Linked DNA regions of Cricetulus griseus. The protein of the gene in region 1 interacts with the protein of each later gene in a pairwise test. Links are inferred from orthologs where the notes say so. Each region holds a gene or a part of one and is shown on either strand. Other genes may lie near its edges.

Region 1 (7,093 bases):
GTCCTGTACAACAGCAGCCAGTGCTCTTAACCATTGAGCCATCTCTCCAGCCGCAAGTGTTTGGTTAGATTATTTGTTTGTTTTGACTTCTTGGTTTTTTTTTTTTTTTAAATATGGTTTCTCTGTGTAGCCTGGCTGTCTTGGAACTCACTCTGTGAAGGGGACAGTAAGCCACGCCTGTTAGAGGTTGGTTACAGGTATAAAGATATCTTGACCTTACAGATTACGGATTGTCTCTTGGGTCCCACAATAACTCTGTAAACCAGGCTGGCCTCAGACTTAGAGATCTGCCTCCTGGTGGTTTGGTTTTATTTTGTTTTTTAAGTAGGGTCTCAAGTAACCGAGCAAGATCACTCCTAATCTTTCCGACTCTGCCTCCCAAATGTTGGGATTACATGTGTGTGCCACCACCATATTCAGATACTCAGAAAAAATATTTTGCATAAAATACATGAGCACATCCCCATGGTTAAGAGAGAGAGATGCAAAGACACACCCTTCACGATTGTCTCTCATTTGCCTAGTGACATGTAATGAACACAGTGGCTGCAGGGAGACGATGTGAAAACACCAGTCCTGTCCATGAGTAACTCCACTGGTAGGAAACCAGTCACGTGGGCAACTACTTACGTGTGGTACCATGTTCCCCTAGAGTGGAGGTATGAACCAGGTGCTGGGACAGCTGAAGGGAATAGCGGGGCGTTCTTGAAAGTTCCCTATGGGATCTATGTGCCCTCCGAACATAGTCTCTTATTCATTATTTCGTGTGTAAATAATGTATGTGAGTGGCTGCACACATGCTACAGCACACACTTGGAGGTCAGAGGACCATGTGTGGGAGTCTATTCTGGAAACTGAACGCAGGTTGTCAGGTTTGGAGGCAAGAACCTTTACCTGCTGAGCTATCTCACAGACCCTTGGGAGTTTTTTATGTATTTGTGTATACATGTGTATATTGTATGACATATGTATGTACATATAATGTGTGTATGTATGTACTTGTATATATGTGTATATTGTATGTGCATATAATGTGTGTGCACATGCATGATATATGTTTGTATTTATATGTATGTTTGTGTGTATATGTTTATATGTATATGTTTATATGTATGTATGATGTGTGTGTACAAATATATAATGTGTGTATGAAATGTATGTACAAATGTATAATGTGTACATGATGTTTGTGTACACATGTGTGATGTGTCTGTGTGTGATGTGTGTCCATGTGTATAATGTATGTGTGTTTGACGTGTATATGTATGATGGTGTTTATATGCTTATGCGTGTGTATATGACATGTACACGTATGATGCATGTGTATGGTGTGGAGTTCAGAGGACAGCACTGTGATCTCAGTCCACTGCCATCCTTGTGTGTCTTGGGGGTTGAACTCAGGTCACTCTCTGTACGTGACAAGGGCCTGGACACACTGGGTCGTCTCTCCTGCCTTGGCCTCCTTCTCCTGTAACCAAAGGCACGATGTCTGTCCAGTCCAGCTGTCTTCTCACCTCCCCTGGGAATCCCTTCTCTTAGAAGGAAAACCACATCTTCATAAAACACATGCTGGACGATGCATCTGAGCTGCAACCCCGACCCGAGGCCCCGGCTTACCTTCTGAGGACTGGCTGCTGCAGGGAAGTAAGGATGGTGCACCAGCCTCACTGCGCCCCCTGCAAGTCAGAAACAGCATAGGTGACATTCTCTGAGGTGAGGGAACCAATGAAGCTCTGCACTGGCTCCGTGTGTTTGATCTGCCAGTTTCCACTCATCAGTATTTTATTGTTCACACCGTCAGCTAAGACTGGGATCTGAGCCAAATGCCCCACTGGTCGGTTTCACAGTGATGGTGCTCGGCTCCCAATCCAGTGCTAAGGTTCACAGCTGTACTGGGATGGCTGACAGGGAACACGGGCACACTCACCTCCTGGTGATGTTTAAACTACATGTGATAGAGAAGCAAACGGAACTGGTGTGACATGAAGTGTTTATGTAATTATCTTTATCAACAAAAACTCAGAGTCAGATATCAGGGTAAGAGCCTGATTGATCAGAGAAACAGTGGAGAAGTGACCAGCGGCCTTCTCGTTCTCCTGCCCCCATCAGGCCCTCCCTGCTACTTCCTGTCTCTCTCTCTATGTCATAGGTCATGGCTAATTTTGGTCAGCTAGTAGCTAGCTCCACCCTCTGATTCAAAGTCAACTTCACTGGCAGTCTTGGCAGTGTCCGAGGGTGAAAATATCCCACAACAGTGACCCTTACACCCGCTTATAAACTTAGCAAAGCAACGAAGCTTAGGCTAAGCTGAGCTGGCTAAAGGTAGGCACTTCACCTGAAGACAAGGCCAGATTTCTGCTACTTGGTGGCAGTACTGGCCACAGGCATAGAAGATACATCTTTCTTTTCTTTTTTGTTTTGTTTTTGTTTCAAGACAGGGTCCTGGCTGGCCTGCCCATGCTATGTAGACCAGGTTGACCTGGAACTCAGAGACCTGCCTGCCTCTTCTTCCTTAGTACTGACATTAAATGTGTGTGCCTGGCCCTCTCCCCACCTGTGCTGGGGAAACTGAACCCAGGGTCATGCACTTGTATTGATGATTACATAGTGCAGTCAGAGATAGGTAATAACCAGTAGTTTATTAGGGGAAAATACTCACGTAAGGGAACCAGTGACCAGGTTTCCACCTGAGCAGGATGGACCCAGAAATGCTTCCCAGTCAGCTCAGCCTAGCGAGAGACCCACGTGCTTGTCCCCCCTGGCTCTTAAACCCCTCTTAAGTACCTGTGACGGAGCCCAAGTAGGCGTGGTCAGCAGTGCTTGTAATCAGGATCACTCCCTACACACGTTAGGCAAATACTCTACCATTGAGTCAGTGGTTCTTCGTCTTCTGGTTTTTGGGGTGGTGGTTTTTGGGGAACTGTTGTTGCTGTTGTTTTGAGACAAGGTCTCATGTAGTCTAGGCTGGCCTCAGACTCCCTTCGTAGCCAACGATAGCTTTGAGTTTCTCATCCTCCTGCCTCTACTTCCCAGGTGCCAGGATCACAGGTGTGCAAACCATACCTACCTACCTTTACCACCAGACATTATATCAAGCACGAAAGGGGTAGATTACAAAGGGCGAACTGTCAGCTTAACTTGAACAACTTAACATCAATGAAGAACAAAGAAAATTCTCAGGCACCAGTGGCCACCACAGACTCAGGGTTTGACTGTGGGATCACTAATTGTGGACCAAAAATACTGGAGGAGGAAAACCCAAATCTTTCCTAAACACAGAGACTTTTTTCTTGTCATTATTCCTAAATGATCGGGCACAACAGCCATTTAATGACTTTACTTTGCCCCAGGAGTTGTAACTAATGATGACAGGCTCTGAGGATGGATATGGGAGATCAAAGCATTCTGGCATCCGTGCAGGCTCCTGGCACCCATCCCCAAACTGAGCTGCCGCACAGCCAGAGGACCATGAAGTTTTGGTGGCTTCTGAAGGAAAGCAGAGGCACTCCCTTGAAAGTAGGACAAAGCTGCTGGGTGTTGGTGGCGCACGCCTTTAATCCCAGCACTCTGGAGGCAGAGGCAGGCGGATCTCTGTGAGTTTGAGGCCAGCCTGGTCTCCAGAGCGAGTGCCAGGATAGGCTCCAAAGCTACACAGAGAAACCCTGTCTCGAAAAAAAAAAAAAAAAAAAAGAAAGAAAAAAAAGAAAGTAGGACAAATAAGAAGACAAAGAACTGATGGGGCAAGTCCTTCTGTATATGTATTTGTCTTATTGGTTGATGAATAAAACACTGTTGACCAATAGGAAAGCAAGATAGGCAGGACTAGGAAAGAAGGAGGATTCTGGGAAACGTAATAAAGAGGGGTCACCATGTGATCCCCAGGAAGAGGATGCATGCCGCTGGTGTCCTTGAGAAGATAAGTCTTTATAAAATATATAGATTAATGGTTATGGTTGATACTTAAGACAGAGCTAGAAAATAAGAAATCTTAGTCATTGGCCAGCAGCATTGTAAATAATATTAAGTCTCTGTGTGTTATTTGGGGGCCCTAACGTGGCGGCATAACACAGGTGGCTGGCGGAAAGAGTTATCGTTACAGAGAACTACTCACAAAACCAGCGTGTTGATAGACACGATGTACTCCAGCTCTTTGGTCCAAGGGTTGGTGAAGCTGAACCACTGACTCTTCAGGGTTACGAAGGACCCATCCTTCACGCGGAATTTATACGAGTCTGTAAGTATTTTCTCCTTACTCTGCAGAACTTCGCAAGAAAAGATGCGATCAGCAGAGCAGCCTTTAGAATGAAACGACCTCAAGCCAGGTGTGGTGGTTCCTGCCTGGAATCCCGGCCCTTGGGAGGCTTTGTGCGAAGAGGGTAGCTGCTGGATCTAGGCCAGCCAGGGGCCCGTACTGAATCCCAGAACAAAAGCAAACACCAAACCCAAAACCAGTGCCTTGTGAATCAACTCCAGTTTGGGGTTTCATAAGGAACGAGAGATTGAGAGTTGATACTACAATAACAATGACACTTATTTATTTATTTACATAGGGATTTGATACATAGCTCAGGCTAGCCTGGAACTCCTGATCCTTCTACTGCCACCTCCCAAGTCCTGAGATTTTGAGTGTGATCCATCACATCTGGCTGAAGTTGTCATTTTAAATTATGCTCTCGATGAATTACCCACCTGCTTTGTGCTTGACAGTCAAATTGCTGTGGTCATCTTGATGAAAATATTCATAACATGAGGTTCCCAAAAGTTCCTGAGGCAGGTATCCTAAAATTGCTGTTGCCCTGGTTTTGAAACAGAAAATTAGCATGGCACTTACTGAAGGTGATGGCTCCCAGAATCCAGCAGCTCCAGCACAGGTGTGACTTTGAGGCAGCAGCCCCGGGGAAAGAGCTAGTCACGTGGACCACTAGGCTCCTATGGACTGCCTGGTCCCCGCCAGCCACAGACCAGAGCCACCAAACAGGCCACCCAGGTGAGGCCCCATGAAGTCCAGCTGATGCCCTTATAAGGCATCAGTGGCCAACACAGTGGCCATGGAGCAGGCCCAGCCTCAGCACCACTGCTAAGAAATGCTTTTCCAAGTTTGCCCTCTGGCTTGACCAAAACGACCAACAACCATAGCCTTATGCCACTTAAACTATCCTCAAGCCCCAATTAGAAGGAAAATCCTGTAGAGCTACCGAGTCACCCCTGAAACAACCTCAACTGGCCCGGGGCTCCTCATCACCACAGCCTGAGTGCTCACCTTTGATCAACGTAGACGAATTTTCCGTTCGTGGCAAAGCGGGTCACAAACTCAGTTGGCCTCACTTTGATCTTGCCACTCTTCTGAGGGACAGCATATGGATGTAACCGTCCCATGGCTACAAGGCAGGTAAGAGGACCACTGTCTTTAACACTGTCCCTCTCTTTCTCCATGCCAACAACATTCAAAGGCCAGCTTCTTAAGTAGCCAGTGCAATGGACGGTGTAGAATTTCCTGTGGTCTAATGAGAAGCCACAGAAATACACTTAGATCAACATGAATGCCAATGTTACCACCACTTCCTCTTTCCTTCTTCCCTCCTCCAATTTTTTTTTTTTTGAGACAAATTCATCCTGTAGCTCAGGCTAGCCCCCAGTTCCTATGTATAAGAGACTATCTCCTAACCCCCATACTATTGCCTCAGCCTCCCAAGTGGTTACCGACCTGCACCACCATGTCTGTCTATTATGAAAAACAAATCTTACTGTTGTTTGTGATGATGATTGATAGACATATATAGTCATAGTAGGACCACAGAAATGCTTGATGAGCATTTAGAAACACAATAAAAAGTATTTTTAAAAAGACTCAAAACCTTGACTTTTCAGAAAAAAATTCTAAGCAACTAATTCCCATGAAGCAGCTTGTCAAACCAACCCACCAAAAAGGAAAACAAGAAAAGAAAAATCGTTTGCTCAAATATGAGGAAAGTTTATGGAAACAAGGAACGGTCACATGGGCTCAGAAGACGGGTGGTGCACACATGGTAGATGCTTTAGACAAAGTGCCTTCAATGTTAAAACGCAGAGAAAAACCTAATGCAAGTTATTTAAAACATTCAGTTGTGACTGGACTTGCAGAAGACCTGAACAGGCATTGTTTTAAATTGGCATTATTCAGGAAGACTGATAGCACGATAGATTTCATTATTGCTATTATCGTGTGTATGGTGTGTGTGTGGGTATATGTGCAGGAGCCTGCATGTGGAGCTCGGAGAACAACTTTGAGAAGTTGTGGGATTAAACTCAGGCCACTGGGCTTGTGCCACAAGTGCCTTTAAGAATCACATCATGTTGTGGTCCCCAACAATAAATCTTTAAAAAGAAACGTTAGTTTTTCTTTTAACAGAAAATGCTGTAGGTTGCCCTAAGAGTTACAGTCAGCAGCAGGACAGACATGAAGAGGGTGAGCCACAAGTCTGTTGGGCGGTCTTACAGCTGGGATTGTATAACTCATTTAACCTCCTTAATAGTTCTGTGAGGTGCTCTGATATTGTCTGCTTGTCTTTGGGAACAGGCAGGGGCTACAGTCACAGCACATGCAGGGCGGAGCTGAGGACCAAGTGTAGACAGACTGGCTTGGCCTCTGAGCATCTGTGCGGTTCACAGTTTTCTCTTTTCTTCATCACATGGGGGAATTGTCTCTCAAGCAGACTGTGTTGGGCCACAAAAGTAGTCTTAACAAATGCTTGAGGGATGAGATCATATCCTGTATCTTTGTTGGTCACGATGGGATGAGCCAATAAATCAGTAAGGAGAACTAAAAACTGTATCTGAATGGGGGCAGGACAGTGTACTCCCACTGCATGGGGAATTTAAGATGCTCTTGAAACAGACAGAAATGGAAATACCTGTGACTGTGATGAGGAAGCAGAAGAGGACTGACAGGAGGGAGGAAGGAACCTAGGATGGGGAGGGGCACAAGGAAGAGAAGAACCAATGAGACAACCCATGAATAACATATACACATATAAAGATGCCCACAGTGACACCAGGTATCTTCTATGCTAACTTAAGAATTCTTTAAAAATTAAAAAAACACACACACACATAT
Region 2 (7,560 bases), on another chromosome or scaffold:
CTTAGCTAGGCAAATGGCTTCGCCTACAGGAACAACTTTATTTGAGCTTCTCACTTCCTAAATACAAAAACCTTTGAAGCCAGGTGTGGTACACCCCTGTAATCCCAGGACTAGAGAAGTTGGAGCAAAAGGATTCAGAGTACAAGACTAGCCTGAACTACATAGCAAGACTTTGTCTAGAAAAAAATCCAAACACCACCAACAACAAAAAGGGAATTGACTTGTGCTTTTATTTTCTACTATTTATACTGAAAATTAAAAATTAAGTATCAGGTTAAACAAGAACTCTTTTAAAAAGCCAAGCATTTGTTGGGCATGGTGGTATCCACTTTTGATTCCATCACTCACCATAAAAGAAAATAAAAATAAAAAGGGATTTTGTCCAAAAAAATTAAATATTTAAAATACAGAGCATTTTTTTAAAGAAATAAAAAATCCTTTAGGCAATGGAGAGAAGGTTCAGTGGTTAAGAGCACTGACTGCTCTTCCAGAGGAAATGGGTCCAATTCCCAGCACCTACATGGCAGCTCACAACTGTCTGTAACTCCAGTTCCAGGGGACCTGACACTCTTCTGCCCTCCCAAGAGAGCCCCTACTCATATGGTGCACAGAAATACATGCAGACAAAACATCCAAACACACAAAATAAAATTTTAAAAAAGTCCTTTTAAAAAAATCAAAAGTAGCCAGGTGTTAGTGGTGCATGCCTTTAGTCCCAGCACTCAGGAGGCAGAGGCAGGCGGATCTCTGGGAGTTCGAGGCCAGCCTGATCTCCAGAGCGAGTGCCAGGATAGACTCCAAAGCTACACAGAGAAACCCTGTTTCGGAAAAACAAAAGCAAACAAACAAAAAAACTAAAGTAATAGCAAAAAATCACTCTTTATAAATAATTTCTCTTTGTAGAGTGACAGGACAGACTTAAAATAATAAGCAAAAGTATTTCTTTGTAGATTACACAACCAACATGATAACTTAGAATTAAAATTGTGAGAATAAGTTGTTTAGGTAATTTAATATTTGCAGAGTAAAGCATGGAGAAAACAGAATTTCTTTATCCACTTAATTCATGGAAATTACATATATCAGGGCTATTAAAAATGGTTGTAAAGCAATTTATAAATACCATTATGTAATTAAGCCAATTAGTAAGAATTAAATTGTTCTTACACTTAATAGTGTTAGGTTGATAATCCGTTCAACTATACCAACAATTTAAAGCTCAAGTTAGCTGATTGATGCCTTACTTCAATAAAGATGCTTAACACGATGCAAGTACTTTAAGAAAACAGTCACAAAGATAGTTTTGCTATAAAATGTCTAACTTTTAAAAATAATTTGCTCCTATGTTTTATTAAAACATTCAGAGCAAATAAATAGTTTGCCTACCACAGCACTGTAAGTACAAATAGGGAGAGGAAGCATTTAATGTAGTGCTCTGAGGGAAGAGTAAGAAAAGCACAACTTTCTTTTATTATTAACAAAACCCTGCCTAACAGACAGCAGTTCACTGACAAATCATATTTCTAACAACCTTCAAATCAATGTGTAAGTAATTGATAATCATTAGATAAAGCAGCAAAAGGCTATCTGCAGTGGGAAAGCTTAGCTAAGTGACATAAACAGATGGACAGCACCCATCTCTGAGATACCTGCTGTACGACTGCAGTTGGCTCCTTCACACCAAGGAGAGAGGCTGAGTGAGCTTTCTGTTCTTCTGTTCTCTTCTTTCTTAACTAGTCAGAAGGCTGAGATGCCTAGTCACCCTCAAGGGCCCATACAATCTGACCTTTAAGAGTGCTATAAGAAATGTTAAAGTTTAAGTCTCTGTGCTAAATTCACATCAGTTAGACCTCCCCCCAAACTGCAAATGACTTCATACCAACTAGTACCTCAATGTTGGGGATGGAATAAGAGATTATGCCCTAAGGTTTATATCACATTTTGAAACTTTCTGACATATTCTAAGTCATTTCTATCCTGGGGTTGGGGTACAGTAGAGGCAAACTGGCAAAACAATCAATCATTCAAGAAGAACTCAATAATGGCCAAGCATAACCTGAACATTCAAAAGACTGAGGTAGGAGGTTCTCTACTTTCTGACCAGTCTGGACTACATACTCAACAACCCCACAAAAAGCCACCATAAAAAGCTCAACATTCAATTTTTAAGGCTAAAATGGACATCCTTATAAATCCACAGAAAAAGATGTAGAAAGCTACTCATCCACTTGTTAATACTTACTTTTGGAGAAAAGTATGAGGTAAAGTAGAAAGGTATATCCAGTGTGATGGCACACACCTAAAATCCTAGTGCGTAGGAAGCTGCAGCAGGAGGACTATGCTGAATTCAAGGCCAGCCTGGAGTACACAGTAAGTTTCAGGACAGCCCGGCTACAAACAGCATGACTCTGTCTCGACAACTACAAATATGGAAGGCAGCCTTTACTTATGTGACTTATCTGGCTAAAAGATTGGAAAGATCAGCCAGGCGGTGGTGGCGCACGCCTTTAGTCCCAGCACTTGGGAGGCAGAGGCAAGCAGATCTCTGTGAGTTCAAGACCAGTCTGGTCTACAGAGCAAGTTGCAGGACAGCCTCCAAAGCCACAGAAAAACCCTGTCTCAAAAAACCAAAAAGAAACAAAGAAAGAAAGAAACAAACAAACAAAAGATTGGAAAGATCTACATACATGAAGTTCAAATGAAAAATAAATGCCATTGTGCAGTAGAGTGACTATTATATACCTGCAACAAACAGAAGCAACACATATATCCTGTCCTACAAAATAAAAAATACTAATAATATTAGTAAAAGTGAGTACAGCAACTAGTTTCCATATAATATTATTGTCACTAGAGGGAGTTTTTGAGTATTCCCTCCCTAAAATTGTACTCAATCTCACAACACCCTTTCAACCTTAACCTTGCTGAAAAGGTTAGGCTGGCAAAGCTAGAAAAATCATTACTATATGTTTACACAATCTGTAACCATAAAAATGCTTAATTTCTTACATTTGATTCTGAATTTTATTTTCCATAATCTCTCTCTCTCTCTCTCTCTCTCTCTCTCTCTCTCTCTCTCTCTCTCTCTCTGCCTCTCTCTCTCTCTCTCTCACACACACACACACACACTGGGGTTCATGTCTGACTTCCTTAAAGGAAATAATAGATTCCCACCAGAAACATTATGCTAAACAATCTAGTTTATTATCATTGTAAATATAGTGTTCAAACTGTGAGGTAGGGATCGACAAAAGGAAAAAAATATGAACTATAGTTCCTGAAGAACTAAAAGGGAGACACTACACTATCAAAGCACATGATCCAATTGTAATACCAAATGCAGTTATCACGAAGTGTCAGCAAGGCAAATAACAACCTTTGTGGTTTTGAATTCATCTGTAACTTCAACTTCTTAAAGTGGAAAGAGCTAGCAAATCCATCCTAAACTTTCCTTCGGTTTATTCCTTCAAATTTTAAAAGAAATAATACTGAAAATGATCAAAATTCCCTACAAAATAGGAAACCAATGGCATATAAACTATCTTAAGCAATTTTTGTTGTTTATGAATCCATAAAATAAAAAATACTACAGATAACACATAAAACATTTCATTTTCCCCCCCTTTCCTCTTCAAACCACTTCTCCCTCTCCCATAATTATTGGTTTTCTAGTATTATTCTAGGATTCCTTTATACAGAAGAGAAATACAAATTTTATAGCTATTACACTCTTCCTTAACACATAAAACAGCACCCAATCCACACCATTCTATTTCTTGTTTTCACTTTATGTCAAAGTTTTGTGCCGTTCTTTTTTCATAGGTCATCGTGGCTAGTCCTGAAAACTAACCAATGACACTCAGCAAACTCCTTGGCACATAAGGTTTCTTTCCCCTAAGATTTTAAACCATATTTATAATTATAATTTAGAGACAGCCATTCTCTAAGTTATATCTTACTAAGAATTTCTTTCCAATCAGCCACAAAATGGATGTTCTACAATTTTTCTTCTCTAATCTCTCTGAAAGTTGTAACGGTGCAATCGAGTGAAATTACCTTTCCTGTGATTTCGGGGATCGGCGCCGTAGTCAAATCAACAATGCCCATAAAAGTTTCTTCTTGTGCTTTTCTTTCACTGAAAAAGAAAACACCGGGGTTTGTTGCTGTCGTCTTAAAAGCACCTACAAAGCCTTCAGTTTGTAGGGGTACGGCATTCTAATACCAAAACCCAACAACCTGATCTGTCATCTGCCAGGGCAGAGGCCAAAGCTCTTCATCTTTCAGGGTAGTCTTGTTGACTACTCAGGACTTGTTCGGAAGCAGAAAACACCCAAAGGAACATAAACTTCGTGGCGCTGCGTACCGGTCGAGCCACGGCCACGTCCAGGGTGGTCAGCTCCGCAAGCCGAGAGCAGCCGGTCGGATGCCCGGGGCCCAGCGCAACCCGCGGTCCAAGCCCCGGAACCACGACCACTAACGGAACCAGCCCTGGGCGGCAGCGGCGGCCGCTCGGACCTCGGAGCGCGGCGCGCGCCGGCCGCCGCGAAGGCGGGGGCTCGGCGGAGGAGCTGGCCGCCCCATCGCCCCATTGGGCGCCGCTCCAAACGTGCCCGAGTGGTGACAGGAATAAAGTGGGTCACAAGGCCTAGCGGGTCCCGGGCGCGAGCCCTCTCGCCGGCCGACTCGGCCTGCCCCCCGCGCCCAGCCTCGAGCGCGCTACGGCCCGGGCGCCTCCCGGGTCGCAGAACCCGCCGCGCCCCCCTGCCCCGCAGGTAACCCCGGCGGCCCGCCGACACCTCACACAGGCCCAGCGGAGTGCGACTCCCCGGGGCTCTGCGTTCTGCTAGCCGCCCCACCCCGGCCGCTGCTCCCGCCTCCCGGCCTGGCCGCAGCCGCCCCCACCCCCGGCCCCACACAGCGCCCCCCGCGCCCGCCCGCACGCCCGCCCGTGTCCTCACCGTGTGGCCGCTTGAGGCTTTGGCTTCCTCCCTCCCCCACCCGGGACTCTGGCGGCGGGGACTCGCGACTGCCAGGCCGCAACGACCGGGGAAACGCCGCGGCTCCGGGAGCCAGCAGCACCTAGGGCGGCCAGTGCGCGCCCCCAACCCACCCCTCCAAATTCGCCGCTACTGCCGCGCTCCTCCCCCTCCCGGTCTTCCCCTCCTCCACCGGCTCCGGAAGCACGCATGCGCCGCCGAGGCCAGCCGTCCGCCGCGCGTCCAACCGAGGCCCACCCTGTGGGGCGCACTCACCGGGAGCGCGCGCGCGCGCCGGCGGCCAGATTTCCTTCGCGCTCTCGCCGGCCGGGGTTTCCTCTCTCCAGCCGGTAGCCGCCGGCCGAGTCCGTGATTGTGCTCCCTCCCGGCGCATGCGTCGTGGACCCGGGGCTCCGCGGCCGGTCGGGCTCTGCACTCGCCCCTCCCCTCGCGGCCGTCTTCCCCGGAGCGTCCGGGCGCGCATGCGACTTTCCCCGTTAGGCAGCCCCGAGCCGCGCCGCGCCGCGCGGAGCTGCGCCACGGAATCCCAGGCGCCCGAGGAAACTCCACTCCTGCGGGCCGGCGTGTGCTCGTTCTGCAGCCGCAGAGGGAAGCGGGGATGCCCCGGGGTCCCCTCCCCCCCCCACGCAGGCCGGGAGGCGGGGCCTGGCGGAGGGTGCGGCCGCCCGCAGAGGTTTGGGAGGCTCTGGGCTCCCTGGGATGCAGCGCTCTCTTCCTGTGGGAGCCACCGGCCCGACGAGGGCCTCGGTCTCTTGAAAAGCAAAGAGCTTAACTGACGCCAAGTTAAACTTCTCCAACCCGACTTGGAACAGGTCGGCTTCCTCTCCTGGAGGTGCGTCGACTGCGGGGGACTCGGTTTCCCCGCCGCTCCCTGTAGGTGGGCATGGGCAACCCAAGTGACCTCGGCTGCAAAAGGTCGGAATGTGTTTGCTCCTTTTATGAAAAGATAAGAGACAACAGTAAAAGATGAGGGTGGCTCCCAGGATGAACAGGGACCCTAGATTACACTGGTTTCGTGGCCGCTGCACCCTAATTATTGGGGGAAAAAAAGCCTTTAGACCCTCCCCCCCCCAGTTCCTAGTAATTTCTTTTAAAAAATCAATTTGGACATGAAACAGAAGGCAGTAAATAAACCTGTACTCTTTAGCTCCAAAATCCTCTCTCCAGGGTTATGTCCAGTAAGAATGAAACAAATTCTTGGTGTATACACAGAATAAAAGAACTTCAAAACCGGAGAATTTGGGTGCGTACTCTCCGAGAAGGCTGAAAAAAGAGAATCTTCAAATTCCCGGCTAATCTGGGCTTCGTAGCCAGACTCTGTCCCGAGAACTTTTCCTTGGTGCCTGTTTTGTTACTTCGCCATTGAAAGGCTCTTACTGCACATTTTGTTCAGAATCCAGCTGCTGCTCTGGGTCATTTTAGTTGAATTCACCCATTCTCCATTCATTCCCTGTGGTCCAGGCAGGACACTTCGCAGTTACTACCAAGAAGGACTGCTTTCCAATGGACTTGAATCTGGAAGAATAAAGCCTTTCCATGTGTGACTAATGAAAAAGAAGGCACCTCGAAGGGGGAAAAAAAAAAAAAAAAAGCAGATTCAAAGGGGGAAGTGTAGCCTAGAGGCTTGATGTCCGACTTTAGGGGCTAGATTGATTCCTCAGGAAGTTTCAGTTAAAGTAATAAATACACTCCTGAATGTATTTTCTTTATTGCTTAAACCAATGAGAGCTTTTTTGTCACAGACTACTTAGCGTCTTGATCACTGGTAGTAAAAAAAAAAAAAAAAAAAGAAGTAGGTTAATCATGCTGATGAAGTTCCTAGGTTGCAGCCAGACAAGGGAGCCTGAATACTTTTCCTAGGTTGAATGTTTCAGTTTTAGTCTAGAGGAAGTCCTTTTTTACATTCAATCTTCTCTAGTACATACATCTTCAAAATGACCTTTGCCCCCTTTAATGATTTCATTGTCCTTTTAGTTACCTATGACTCCTCACATTCTGTGTTTAATTATTTACCAAGACCTGATGAAAATCCCGTGATTTTTCTGCTCAGTCCTCTGCCACGGTTTGAGTATTTCCCACAGGTCAGTTTACAACCCCCCCCATATTCTCTCCAGGGAGGGGGGAAAACTTTTCTTTTTCTCCAACTTTAACATTCTTTGTTTCCATCAAACAAAAACTTTGTCTCAGAATTTCATAAATCTTAAATCTAGGTTCCCAATTCTAAACTATTGCCTTAAACACCACATTTGTTAGTTGTGTGTCCTCTCAACTCCCATGTGCCTTGCCCTTGCTGTTGTTTAAACTGTTTCCAATTGTCTTTTCAGCTGATTTCCCCGTGAAGTTCTTCATCTGTAAAATGAGGATAACAGTTTCAGCTCATAGGACAATTAGAGGCAATTGTGTATTAACACTATCTGCTATGTAAATTACATGTCAAGTATTGGCCACTTCAATTTTTTGTAATTAAAATTTAATTACATCATCTACCCCCTTCCCTTTCTTCCCTGCAGTCCTTCCCATGATCCACACCTTGCTCTCTCTCAAACTCATGGCCTCTATTTCT

What was found. The genes of interacting proteins can lie anywhere in the genome.
Region 2: the proteins of Arntl2 (region 1) and Clock interact in binary tests that used the Homo sapiens proteins (3 or more experiments, as listed by UniProt). The link is inferred for Cricetulus griseus from reciprocal best matches to the Homo sapiens genes BMAL2 and CLOCK.

The regions. Positions count from the first base shown.
Region 1 is NC_048601.1:2,893,998-2,901,090, forward strand, and holds part of Arntl2 (aryl hydrocarbon receptor nuclear translocator-like protein 2), read right to left. Parts: intron 5,502-7,093; coding exon 5,261-5,501; intron 4,797-5,260; coding exon 4,690-4,796; intron 4,263-4,689; coding exon 4,112-4,262; intron 1,677-4,111; coding exon 1,618-1,676; intron 1-1,617. UniProt on the Homo sapiens protein: Transcriptional activator which forms a core component of the circadian clock.
Region 2 is NW_023276807.1:142,732,926-142,740,485, forward strand, and holds the start of Clock (circadian locomoter output cycles protein kaput), read right to left. Parts: upstream 5,117-7,560; 5' UTR 4,959-5,116; intron 4,382-4,958; exon of another isoform or gene 4,364-4,381; intron 4,136-4,363; 5' UTR 4,057-4,135; intron 1,798-4,056; exon of another isoform or gene 1,650-1,797; intron 1-1,649. Other genes in the region: collagen alpha-1(I) chain-like, read left to right, coding at 5,369-5,773. UniProt on the Homo sapiens protein: Transcriptional activator which forms a core component of the circadian clock.